Linked DNA regions of Mus musculus. The protein of the gene in region 1 purifies or fractionates together with the protein of each later gene. This does not show direct contact. Links are inferred from orthologs where the notes say so. Each region holds a gene or a part of one and is shown in the gene's direction. Other genes may lie near its edges.

Region 1 (4,172 bases):
GCAGGCGGATCTATGAGTAAGAGGACAGCCAAGGATACACAGAGAAACACTATCGAGGAAAAACGGGAAAAAAAGGGGGACCATATTGGCTGGGCAAGATTTTCATAGGCCTTAAATCTCAGCACTTGGGAGACAAAAACAGGTTGATCTCCACGGCGAGTTCCAGGCCCAAGGCACAGTGAGAATCAGTCAAACAAAAGATCTACCAGATTGTAAGTGTTGGTCTGCAGCAGAGGGTAAAGGTGCTTGCCGCTAAGCCTGACGACTTGTGTTCAATTCCCTACACTCACATCGTGGGAGAAAGGACTCCTGTTCATTGCTTTGTGACCTCCATACGTGCAAGGCACACACGAATGCATGCTCACACTATACAAAGTAAGTGTTAGGCGTTGGAAGGAAACAGGTCAGATGTGCTCGCGTACCTTATGCGGAAGCTCCCACTGGAGGGCTCATACGGGAGTTTAAAGGATCTTATGTTTGGACCATAGACTGGTGGGACTGAAGGCAAAGGGAAGGTTCACGAATCCAGCAACTGACATCCATCCTCAGGGAAGGAGTAACTTTCTGCAGATTCAGGGAAATTTCCTGGAAGAGGTGGCGTCCGAATTGCCGGTGATTGACGTGTAGGAGTTGGTCAGACAAAGGACGCTGGGTGTTTCCCGCAGAGGACCTGGAGGCCACGAGGAGGCCACAGGTGTTCAGAACTTGGCGCCTTCCAGCACAGGGGTGGGAAGCTCACAGCGAATCATGGCTGGTTTCGGAATCACAGACTAGAATGCGCCCTCATCCACGTCTCAGGAATTGGGGTTTTCCCTATAACTTAACGCGCCCACGCTCCCCAGTTCCTCCAGAAAACATCCAAGACCGGGGTAGGGGGTATGGGGGAGAGGAATCCACAGAATGGTGATGATTGACATTCCTAAGAGCCAGTTGCTGCTGCCCAAAGCTCTGCCTGCTTCCTTATGGGCCAATGGCCCCTCTTCTTCTAGGCCTGTCGCTTAAACAGGGTGGCGTTAGAGCCGCGAACGTCACCTTTGGCTCAGCCAATATCAACGAGGGAGGAGGGGATTAGCTTAATGATAGACAAGTCAGTTTCTAGACGTCCGCTTAGCGCGGAGCCCGCCGGGAAGCTCCAGGGCGGAGCTGGCCAGAAAGGGGCGGGAAGATCTGGTGAATTTTACCCAATCGTCACACGTGCTGGGTGAGACAGACAGGCAGTTGTTCTCTTCCTAGCGGACAGGAGGGGGCGGGCCTTTAAACGCTAGGGGGGCGGGCACTTTATGTTTGATAGGCGTGTCTGTCATCCAATTGAAATATGAAGCTCTCAGATGGACGGCTTTACAGACCAATGAGAACTTATGGCGGGGTATCGGGGGCTGGGCTGAGGACCCTCTGGTAAAAGGCGGTCCCCGGTCGAGCCGGGGGGAGAAAAGAGAGAGGGGGGGGTCTCGGAGGCCGGAGGACTCGGGTGAAGATGGCGGCAGCCGAGGCCGCGAACTGCATCATGGAGGTGAGTAGCTGGGCTCTTTAGGCCCGGGGGCGGCGCGAGACGGGTGGCCCACGGCCTGAACTGTGGGGACGGGGCCTTTTGATGTGCCTGGCTTCGCGTTGGTCCGCATCGGGGGATGTGTTCGATCGTGACGGGAGAGATCTCGGCTTTCGGTGCTTTGGGACCCGCAGCCGAGCCGAGGACTGTCGCACGTGGTCGCGGGCCGGGGGCGCTTCCAGCCGGGCCGCACGTGGTCTCGCAGAGTAGCGTGGGGAGGGGGGTGTGCCGCCTCGAGGGGCCCCGTGGGCTCCACGTGCAGGACAAAGGCCCCGCCCCCAGCCCGATGACCTGGGCTGCACTCAAGGGGTCCAGGGGTTGCCACCCGCTCTCCCTGGCTCGGCTGTGGATGTCCATGCAGCCCGGGCTCTTTGCACCCGCGTGGGGCCTGAGAACATCAGTCCCCAGCCTCCCTTTCCCCAACTCTGTGTTAGCCTTGTGCAGCGGGGGGGGGGGGGGGGGGGGATGGGCATAGCCCTGTGACCTCTCTTTAAGGAGATGGTGGGGAATCTCATCCGAGGAGATCCGGATCCGTCGCCGGGCACCCCCTCGTGGTCACTATGGGCGTGTGAGAGGGGCGTCTTTTTTCATGGGGCGTGGCCCAAGCCCACCCCTTCATGGGAGGGCCCTCGGGTGGATGGATAGTCAGAGGTCAGTGGTGGGGGATAAAGGAGTTCGGATGGCCATGGGCCTTAACCTCCACAGAGCTCCATTTTTACCAACTTGAATGTGGCAAGGGACCCCTTTTTGAACATTTCCGCCTTTTTGCCTAATTTCCCCCCAAAACAGAATGAAATTCTAGCATCTGCCTTGCTTACCTGCTTATCGTTGATTGTTCGATCCTAAGCTGTATTCCTCAGTCTACTTTTTACTTAGTTTAATTAAACAAATGTGCCTGAGCCTGGCGGTGGTGGCGCACGCCTTTGATCCCAGCACTTGGGAGGCAGAGGCAGGCAGATTTCTGAGTTGAAGGACAGCCTGGTCTACAGAGTGAGTTCCAGGACAGCCAGGGCTACACAGAGAAACCCTGCCTCAAAAAAAAAAATGTGCTTGGCCTTGAACTCACCCTGTAGCTGAGTATGGCCTTGAACTTGCCATTTTCTTTTGACTTCTGAGTAGCTCATCATCAGGCTTGTAAGGCAGGTCCTAGACATGGGTTTCAAGCTCTCTTCAGTCATTTGTCAACCTTCTGGTGTCCGTCTGTACTATTGAAAAAGTGGGGCCCACGTGGGAATCTCACCTCCCAGGCTGTGGGGAGCTGAGAGCTTGGTTAGGTTGTGACGTTTCTCTGGAAGCCTTGGGTGGCAGTCATTGATGGTATTTAATTTGATGGGGCCCATACCTCTTCAAGTTCTCTGGAGGGGAAGGTCAGTTGCTGGGAAATCTGCCATAAATAGGGATCAGTTAGCCTACAGGGTCACTATGGTGACCCTGGGCCCTGGGACTTGTGGACAGAGAAAAGAAAAGGCTGTTCCAGTGTGGGAACCCAGGTGAGGTGGGGAATGGGCTGGACCCAGTTTTCCAAGGCATATATGATACCTCCTCAGAAAGGCAGGGAAACCAAAGAGGTCAGGTTGCCTCTGTGTGTTGGTGTGGGTGTGAGTTGGTGGTATGCCTGCTGCTTTGGTGGTGTGCTACGTCTCTCTAATGGAATCCTCTTAGGACAGGCGACAGCACCCTTCCCTTCCTACCCCTCCCTCCAGTTTATTCATGGCACTTCAGCCTGGCATGTGTGTCAGGAAATGTCACCTAATCTCTTGGGGGGGGATTAGGTAGTGAAGGGGAGCAACAGCTGGGCAGTGCCCATGTGCCCTGGCAAGTATTGGGTCTTGTGGCCTAGATGGGGTAGGTGTGTATGGCCAGTCATTGGACCAAAGAAGGACAACAGGGGGCAGGCCACCATCTCTTCAGCCAACAGCTGGGACAGGAGACCTTCCCTTCCCTCCTTCCTATCCTTCTCTACCCGATCACAGCCTCCCTCATTGCTTGTCCCTGCTCACACACACACTCCCTTCCTTGCCCAGGCAAAGCCAACCTACAAACCACTCACCGCCCCAAAGGCCTTCCCCAATCACCCCGTAGCTAATCCTTTTTCCCTGTTACTCTCTCCTAGAATTTTGTAGCCACCTTGGCTAATGGGATGAGCCTCCAGCCGCCTCTTGAAGAAGTAAATATCCTTTTGTGAGACCCCCACCCAGCCCACTTCCACATAAGCTTACTTGCTATACATCTGGCTCCCCAAGAGGTCTAACCGTCCTCTTGCTTCCAACCAGTTTCCTCTGCTGTGCCCCCTAACCCCTTAGGACAGAGCCCTTCCTGGCCCCAGCTGGCTTCCCCAGAACCATGGCTGCTTCCTTAACTCCATCTCCAGCCCTCCTCCCCTGCCCTTCCATGTGTCTGCCCTGGCTCTGCCCTCTCTCCCTCCCTCCCCAGCTGTGGGCTGAGCTAGAGACAGGCCATAGAGCCTGGAGAGATGGTAGGCGAGGCGGCTGCTCCCTGGATGGTGCTCTGGGTGGGTCCTGGAAGTGGAAACATGACCTGGGGAAGAAAGATGCTGGAGGGGGCTGGAGGGTTGTCCTGGTATGATGAGGGGCTTTTTGCAGGTTGAGGAGACTCTGGGGAACCC
Region 2 (4,107 bases), on another chromosome or scaffold:
TGTTGTAATTTCTATCAGGACAGAACTTGGTTTACAGAATTGATGTCAACAGTCTCATAGTGCAGCTAGAAGATTGCCACTAGCACTTAAGTGTGACCTTAGTAAGTTTTATCAATTCTGACAGTTTCATCCCTGTGAGAAAGGGATAGTTATTTATCTAAAAGGATGTGAGGATGAAACATTCGTAGCACCTGCTGCCTGAGGTATGTTTTCTATTACATAATGTATCAATGGAAAAGATTTAAAATTATAGTGTGTATTGGCACTGGATTGTCTTAGTGGGATTTAAGGTTCCCAACTAATGTCAGAGTTAGCATATAATTACGAAATTAGTTTCCTCCCTTCACACATAATACCCAATGTACTATAAAACATTTCCTCTTGAGCACATTTGGGGAGCTGGAGACAGGGTTTTTTCTTATGAAATCCCTGCGGTCCTGGAACTTGCTCTGTAGACCTGGTTAGCCTTGAACTCTGCCTCCTAAGTGTTCAGATTAAAGGCATGCGCCACCACCCCAGGCTCTGGAGCACATTTTACTAACACCGCTGACCAGATACCGACAGATCAATTTATCGCGTTGATTCTAGAAAGCGTTTCCACAAACACTGTTTTAGAGGATGGCCGAGCGTGCAGTTGTGCAGTCAGGACTTAACAGCTCTTAAAGCATGGTTGCAATGACCGGAAAAGGCGCGCAACCCAATTAGTTCAACTCCTCTTTTGGATTCCTTCTGCCACGCAGATTCAACCCTGGAACTCCGTTCCACATTAAACCGAATTGCCTTGATTCGTTACGAAGGGTGGAGGGACAGCTCTAGAAATCCAACAGTCAGGGACGAGCAGCCGTGCGGTCGCAACCTACCGGAGGCTACTGTGGCACCCCCCACCCCCCGGAAGTTTTTGAGGCTCCAGTTACTAGGTCTGGGAGTCACCTTGACCCTCCCAGAAAGGTGGGGAAAGTCCTGGCCGGAGACAGAATGAGTGAAACCAAAGACAGAGAACACTTTCGTGAGCAGAAGACGCCCTCACGTTTTCCTGTTCTCAGAGGTATCTAAAGACCGAGAGTTTAAGGGTGACAAGAGCAGGTGGCAGAACTCCGCCCCGTACTCGCTTCCCCACCTTCAGCGAGCACGCTGCACACTTTCCTTGAGATCCCGCCTCTCAGGCGCGCGCGAAGAGTTGCTGCGCAGTGCACGCTGGGAGTTGAAGTTCAGGAGTAGACAGCCATCCCGGGCTAATCAGTTGTGGCCTACAGGCCCCATGGTGCCGTGCGGCGCAGGCCGCTCCCGGATGTGTGCTTGGCGCCGGAAGAGAAGGCGGCCCCCCTCTCTCGGCCCGGCCATCTTGTGGGAAGAGCTGAAGCAGGCGCTTTTGGCTCGGCGCGGTCCGCTGCAATCCGTGGAGGAACGCGCCGCCGAGCCACCATCATGCCTGGGCACCTACAGGAAGGCTTCGGCTGCGTGGTCACCAACCGATTCGACCAGCTATTTGACGACGAATCGGACCCTTTCGAGGTACTGAAGGCAGCAGAGAACAAGAAAAAAGAAGCCGGCGGGGGCGGCGTTGGGGGCCCCGGGGCCAAGAGCGCGGCTCAGGCCGCGGCCCAGACCAACTCCAACGCGGCGGGCAAACAGTTGCGTAAAGAGTCCCAGAAAGACCGCAAGAACCCGCTGCCCCCCAGCGTCGGCGTGGCCGACAAAAAGGAGGAGACGCAGCCGCCGGTGGCGCTTAAGAAAGAAGGTAAAGCCGGGCGAGGCGGTGGGGAGCCCGGGCTGGCGGGCAGGACGGGGGCGTGCGCCGCCGCTTGCTCGTGCAGGCGGCGGGGCCGCAGAGCCCTCGGAGCCCCTTCACGGTGCGGGGAACGTGGCTGGTCCCAAGTCCACGCCGCTCTCTCGGTCGCTTGCTCGCTCGCAGGCTCGGCGGGAGCCTTCCTTCCCGCCTCGGGCGGACGGAGCGTGCTCCGAGAGGGCGGCCCGGGCGTTCCCGCCGATTCCTGCCGGGCGCTAGCCTCCTGGCTCTAGGCGCTCGGGAAGCAGCGCGGGCATTGCTTCCTGCCCGGCGGGCTCCTGGCTGCCGCTGCCTGCTGTGGGCTCCTGCCCTGCCATCTTGTCCCACAATGGCGCGGACCCTCAAGGAAAGGCCCGGGCTCAGAGTTTCCACTTGGGCTGCGTCTCCGTTTGGGGGTCCCTGTTAGAGTGGAGGGAGGGAGGAGTTGCTGTTTGGGTCCCACGTGTGTGTTTTGTGTTGTGCCCTTTCGCTCTTACGTTAGAAGAAGTTCCTGTAACTTACTGGCGAGAACTAAAGTGTTGGAGAGGAGAAGAATTTAGCCCCACTCATTTTAGAGGGAGTTCCGAATAAAAAACTGGTCATTAGTGGAACCCATCTCATGTCTCCATCTCTTCTTCCAACTAACTCCCTGGAGCCCCCAGGTCATAGGGCTTTGCTTGTTCTGGGCCTCGTGGGCGAAATGAGTGCCCAGCCTGTCATGTCCCGGCAGCAGAACTCAGGCTGCAGCTTTTCCTCCGCACGTGCGTAAAGCGTGGTCGGGTCTTCATTGGCGGCTAATGGTCTCTTCAAGGGCACTAGAAGTTTCATAGTTGTTTTGATTTTAGCATTCTTCTCCATTACTGGCTTATTGTGGATGAAAAGGCAAAGCAATTAGGGGCTAAAAAAGTGAAAAATCAATAGCGAGTACATATAGAATAACCTGTGAATCTTTAAAATTGGTATTATGTTAAAGTGCCTCTCAATGCCACGTGCTCATGAAAGGAATTGTTTCTCATTAGATTGTGTTAGGTTTGAAGTTTTTTGGGGGTGGTGGTGTCTTTCAATGAAGGCTTAGAGTAAAACATCCAGTTCCTAGTAGATTTATAAAAGGGAAGAGTTCTATTAATATATTTGGAAGCATAGTCTGGAGTGTTAGAAAACATCACTTGGGCAGAAGTACTGAGCGGATTAAGCTTCTTGACATTACATAGTTGAATAAGACATTTAATTTCTGTGTTAGGGACACTAGATAGTGTTATTTAAACTACTAAAATTTACCTCCTTTATGACTGTAATTCACAGAAGTACATGAATAAGTTGAGTAAATAAAACACATCACATAGATGAACTCAAAAAATGGTCAAAACATGAAGCATGATTTTAAATTATTCAATTTTCATCACAAAGCCAATTTATGATCTTGCCTGTAAACTAGCATAAGTCATCAATGGAGGACATTTTTATTTATAGCCAGGATTACGTTTGTCATTTACTTCAGAAAACTTTTTCACAATAGTAGTCAACCTTTTTTTTAGTTACGTCCAAGTCTTCCATGGGTTGTACTGGGTATTGAACTTAGAACCTTGTCCTTGCTGGGGAAAATTTTGCATTACACATCTCAAACCCTTAGATCACTCTTTAAAACCAGAGTTGATTTTAAATAAGGTTATATATACATATGGGGAAATTTTGAATAAAACTTCCAGTTAGTGCTGTGTGGTGGTGGTTGGTAGACTTGTAAACAAAGTACCTATCTGTAAGAGTGGAAACAATTGTTAACCTATGGTGTGTCCTGTGTCTCGGGAACACAATGCTGGAATGTAATGTTTTTCTACATAAATTTTGATGCATTTGTCTATTTGAAGAACTTGAATTGGCAAAATGTCATTAAAAGTAGACCAGGTTTTTTGTGTTTAGCAAAAAAAGAAAAGCAACTCTGGATATTAGTGCAGTTAAGAAACTCATGTATCTGGTAAGTACAGTAAAAGAACCTTGTATGCTTTTTAAAAAATTTTTTTTCAGTAGATGAATTTATATTTTGTGGTAAAAGTGGCCGAACCCAGCATTTTGCAAACTAAGTGAAAGTAGCTCTCACTGAGCTACACTCCCAACCACTTGATGAGTTTAGTAAGTTTTTTTCTGATTATGTAGGCCTCATACTGAATATTGGGTGGGGAAGCAAGCCATTGTTCCTTGGGTGTGTTTAGCTTGGTTATCATTACAAGTTCTGAGCTGGTTCTATAGCTCCACCCCAATACACTATACCTCTGATGAAATTTATGTAAATGCCACGGCATAAGGGCTACATTTAAGGCTTGCCCTGAGAATTTACAGAGACTGAG
Region 3 (4,211 bases), on another chromosome or scaffold:
TTTGTTTTACCTGGTCTTTTATCAAGTCAGGGCTTTTCTTTGTAGCCCTGGTTATCCTGGAACTTGCACTGTTTGGCTTTTTGTTTTTGTTTTGTTTTGTTTTTTGTTTTTTTTTCAAAACAGGGTTTCTCTGTGTAGCCCTGGCTGTCCTGGAACTCCCTCTGTAGATCAGGCTGGCCTTGAACTCAGAGATTCACTTGCCTCTGCCTCCAGAGTGCTGGGATTAAAGGCGTGCAACACCACTGTCCGGTGGGGTTTCGGTTAGGGTTAGGTAACTTGTCCTGTTGACCAGGCTAAACTCAAACTCAGAGATCCTCCAGTCTCTGCCTACCCAGTGCTGGGAAACCTAGGGATTTTTAGGCTGGTGGAGTAGGCTAAAGTTCTGAGAGCGCATAGGAAGACACTTACAGTCTGGACAGCAGCCATTAAACGCCATCCTGCAGATGCCGCAGTTCTCATCATTGGCTACCCAGAGCCAAGTGGCCACACCATTCCAACATTTAATTTTCACCTTCATGACAACAGAGCCTGTGACCTGAGGGAAGAGGATGACCTGGAGTTAGTACGGAATACGAAAGCACCTAAGCTCAAAGTCATGGAGCTGCGGCAAGTGCTGCACTCGTCAAGAACGGCATCTTCCAAAATTCCGTGCGTCCCGACCAAAAAGAAAGAAAAAGGCACGTGTTTGTCTTTAAAGACGGCAAGGAGAGCCTGTGGGATTAATGGCACGAGTTTATTTTGCCACCTTTAAGGATGCCTTTAAAGATCTGCACTCATGTAGTCTGGCACGGTGGCACACGCCTCTAATCCCGGGGCAGAAGCAGATCAGCCAAACAGGAAACGAAAACAAACAAAAAAACAAAAACAAAACCTCCGCATCCACGCAAAACATTGGTTTTCACTAACCAGGGCCTCGCTTTTAAAGATATGGAAAGAGTGACTGTCACTAATCCGCGAAGTTAAAGCAGGGGTGAGGACGCCAGCTCGTCAGGAGACCGAGCCTTCGAGCAAAAACAACCAAGTCGGACCCACGGACCGGCCGGGACCCCCACGATCGCACGGTGAGGAGGGACGCGGGACGCGCACACTGCGCTGCACCCAGGCGACGCCCGAGGATCTTCCGGCCTCCCAGGGAGGCGCCCGCAGGCCCCGCCCCCTGCTCGCCCTCGCACCTCCGCGGCCTAATCACGAGGCGCCCCGCCCTTCCGTTGCCTCCGCGCGGGAATGTATAAAAACGACCGCGCCGCGTCGGGCTCCTCCGAAGTAGCGCCAGCCACCGCGGCGAGCCGTACGCAGGCGCTCTGCGGAATCGCGCGCGCCCAGACCAATCGCCGCTCGCTTCGGGCCCGCGACGCCGGAAGGCAGGGGGAGGCGCCGGAAGTGACGCCGCGGCGTGCTGACGCGCGGGCTCGATCCGAGGCCCGAATCCGCGCCCGCCATGGCCGACAAAATGGACATGTCTTTGGACGACATCATTAAGCTGAACCGGAGCCAGCGAGGAGGCCGCGGCGGGGGCCGGGGTCGCGGCAGGGCCGGCTCCCAGGGCGGCCGCGGCGGCGCAGTGCAGGCCGCCGCGCGGGTGAATCGAGGCGGCGGGCCTATGAGGAACCGGCCCGCCATCGCCCGCGGCGCCGCAGGCGGCGGCAGGAACCGGCCGGCGCCGTACAGCAGAGTGAGTGCGGGGACCTGCGGCGCGGGCCGGGGAGGGTGCGCCCGGGCCGGCCGGGACCGGGTGAGCGTCCCGCGCGGGACCGCGGCCGAGGGGTGGGCGGGGGCGAGGCCGTCCCGAGGCCAGGATCTTCCGGGACGCTTTGTCCGGTCGTGGTCCAGCCTCGTGGCGGCGGGGGCCGCTGCGAGAGAACTTGGGTGTCCGTAGCGGAGCGGCGGGGCTGGGGGACTCTCGGGGCTCCTCGACCTTGGCCGCGGGGCCGACGGGAGAGCGTCGCCGAGGTGTCGCGGGCTCCCGGGACGAGTCTCACGAGTGTCTCTGTGCTTACGGTTTCTCTCCAGCCGAAACAACTTCCCGACAAATGGCAGCACGACCTCTTCGACAGCGGCTTCGGGGGTGGAGCCGGCGTGGAGACCGGCGGGAAGCTGCTGGTGTCCAACCTGGACTTCGGAGTGTCAGATGCTGATATTCAGGTAGGAGACGGGAGCTCTCCGCTTTCCTCGTCCCACGCGGACGTGGGCTCCAGGATCCTTTACAGATTGGAACCTGCCCTCCCCTAGGCTGCCCAGAGCCAGCCACTGTCACCCTGAGAGCCTTGGCCTCAGAAAAAGTAGGGTTTGAGCACGACCCCATAAGCCAGGCTGCAGGAAGATGTCACACACTGTGTGTGTATGTGTGTGTGTGCGCGCGCCCCCCTAAAAATGAGTCCTGTCTGCTGTCCAAACTGTGAGCGCCTGCCCTGTGCCAGAGCTTACAGTTTCTAACCTGCACAGACTGGCCACAACTCCGGTCCCAGCATGACCGAAAGGTGCTTGCTTCTCAGATTTATGCTCGATATGGTGAACTGATAGGAGAAGGAAGTCCAGCATCTCCCAGATGCTGAGAAAGGTGGCTGAGAGTATCTTCCAGCCTGCGTCTCTGTGCTGGATCTTAACTGGCGATCTTTCCTGGGTCTTACCTGGGTCATGGTTCTCCATGCCTTCGAAATATTTTTTTTCTCTTCCCCTCCCTTCTTGGATTTTGTGTCTTTTTAAATTTCTTTATAAACTGGACCTCAGAGGCATTTAGAGTTCTCTGGTTACAAGGCATAATTTTGGGAATTAGCTTTGATATAGCCAGAACTGAGTCAGGTGTGCTGGGCCTTTCTGGGTACCGTTCCCCAGAGCCCAGCTGTTTGACCTCCCCATGGGAGAAAAGAACAAGGCTGGTGAGCACTCACAGTGTCTCAACACTTCTTTTTTTTTTAAGATTTATTTATTTATTTTTATGGATTTGAGTACAGTGTCACTCTCTTCAGAGACACCTGAAGAGGGCATCAGATCCCATTATAGATAGTTGTGAGTCACATTGGTTGCTGGGAATTGAACTCAGGTCCTCTGAAAGAGAGCAGCCAGTGTTCTTAACCCCTGAACCATCTCTCCAGCCTGTCTCAACACTTTTTTTTAAAGGTGGTTTCTGGCATCCACTGGAAACTGCTTTAGCTAGCTGTACTCCCCACTGTGTGCCTGCAGCTGAAGTGCCTTACTCTGTGGGTTCCCTCTCCAACTCCCAGCCAGGACAGGTTCCATGCTGCATTTCACTTCAGACTTGGCAGCAGCAGGCAGTAGGAGGAAAGGGGAAGGTGAGCTAGAACCTGCCTTTGCAGTAGGGGCTGTGTCACAGTTCCCCAAAATACTGGGCCCTTTGCGTTGTCTGCTCAATGGACAGTTTTACTATTGGCCTCTGGTATTTAGTGAAACGCAGTTAGTCAAGTTGAAAGTACCCCTGCTGAGAGAGAGTTTTGTAGTTTTGTCCTGTGATAGGACTTTGTGTCTTCCCTCATCTACAGCATGGTGTAATTACATTGTCCCACAGTGGACAGTAACCCAGTTGTTCGCGACAGTTGCTGTCTCCCCTTCCCTCAGCTCTTAATCTCCACTGCCTTGCCTTCTTCCTGGGTGGCTGTCAGTCAAGTACCTCTAAAGCATAAGGACTTACAGCAAGTGTTGCTGAGCTACAAGAAGGAAATTGGCTTAATTGCTAATTTTTACCCCTTCCCAGGAACTCTTTGCTGAATTTGGGACATTGAAAAAAGCTGCTGTGCACTATGATCGCTCTGGACGAAGTTTAGGGACAGCAGATGTGCACTTTGAACGGAAAGCAGATGCCCTGAAGGCTATGAAACAGTACAATGGTGTCCCTTTGGATGGTGAGTCTGGGACTGGGCCCTGGATGCCTGTGGGGCGTGTGGAGTTTGGGGCTGGCACCTCTCCCTGTAGGAATCTGGGCTGCCCCCCCCCCCTTGGCTGAGGATACTTTGCATTTGCCCCTTTGTCTCTCTCTTCCATTCTGCCACCTCTCATGCTGCCCCACACATCTGGACCAACCTCTTGTGAACCCCCATCCAGCAAGCTACATCCCTCCCCTCCTTGAGCTCCTTCCGGAAGATTCACTTCTGTGAAGCCTTCTCAGAACCGCCATAGTACAACCTGAGTGCGGGGCTGTAGTCGTAAAGACAAAGGTACCTGTTCTTCTTCCGTCAGGTCACCCACACCTGTCTGCC

Evidence for each region. The genes of interacting proteins can lie anywhere in the genome.
Region 2: the proteins of Prmt1 (region 1) and Serbp1 purify together in Homo sapiens (affinity purification with mass spectrometry; 3 studies listed by BioGRID and IntAct, with this or other methods). This does not show direct contact. The link is inferred for Mus musculus from reciprocal best matches to the Homo sapiens genes PRMT1 and SERBP1.
Region 3: the proteins of Prmt1 (region 1) and Alyref purify together in Homo sapiens (affinity purification with mass spectrometry; 3 studies listed by BioGRID and IntAct, with this or other methods). This does not show direct contact. The link is inferred for Mus musculus from reciprocal best matches to the Homo sapiens genes PRMT1 and ALYREF.

Annotation. Positions count from the first base shown.
Region 1 is NC_000073.6:44,983,621-44,987,792, reverse strand, and holds the start of Prmt1 (protein arginine N-methyltransferase 1), read left to right. Parts: upstream 1-1,372; 5' UTR 1,373-1,474; coding exon 1,475-1,510; intron 1,511-3,659; coding exon of another isoform or gene 3,660-3,713; exon of another isoform or gene 3,714-4,019; coding exon of another isoform or gene 4,020-4,058; intron 4,059-4,172. UniProt on the Homo sapiens protein: Arginine methyltransferase that methylates (mono and asymmetric dimethylation) the guanidino nitrogens of arginyl residues present in proteins such as ESR1, histone H2, H3 and H4, FMR1, ILF3, HNRNPA1, HNRNPD, NFATC2IP, SUPT5H, TAF15, EWS, HABP4, SERBP1, RBM15, FOXO1, CHTOP, MAP3K5/ASK1, MICU1 and NPRL2.
Region 2 is NC_000072.6:67,265,672-67,269,778, forward strand, and holds the start of Serbp1 (plasminogen activator inhibitor 1 RNA-binding protein), read left to right. Parts: upstream 1-1,307; 5' UTR 1,308-1,425; coding exon 1,426-1,738; intron 1,739-4,107. UniProt on the Homo sapiens protein: Ribosome-binding protein that promotes ribosome hibernation, a process during which ribosomes are stabilized in an inactive state and preserved from proteasomal degradation.
Region 3 is NC_000077.6:120,595,566-120,599,776, reverse strand, and holds the start of Alyref (THO complex subunit 4), read left to right. Parts: upstream 1-1,411; 5' UTR 1,412-1,438; coding exon 1,439-1,672; intron 1,673-2,010; coding exon 2,011-2,142; intron 2,143-3,709; coding exon 3,710-3,857; intron 3,858-4,056; exon of another isoform or gene 4,057-4,169; intron 4,170-4,211. Other genes in the region: Anapc11 (anaphase-promoting complex subunit 11), read right to left, coding at 409-517. UniProt on the Homo sapiens protein: Functions as an mRNA export adapter; component of the transcription/export (TREX) complex which is thought to couple mRNA transcription, processing and nuclear export, and specifically associates with spliced mRNA and not with unspliced pre-mRNA.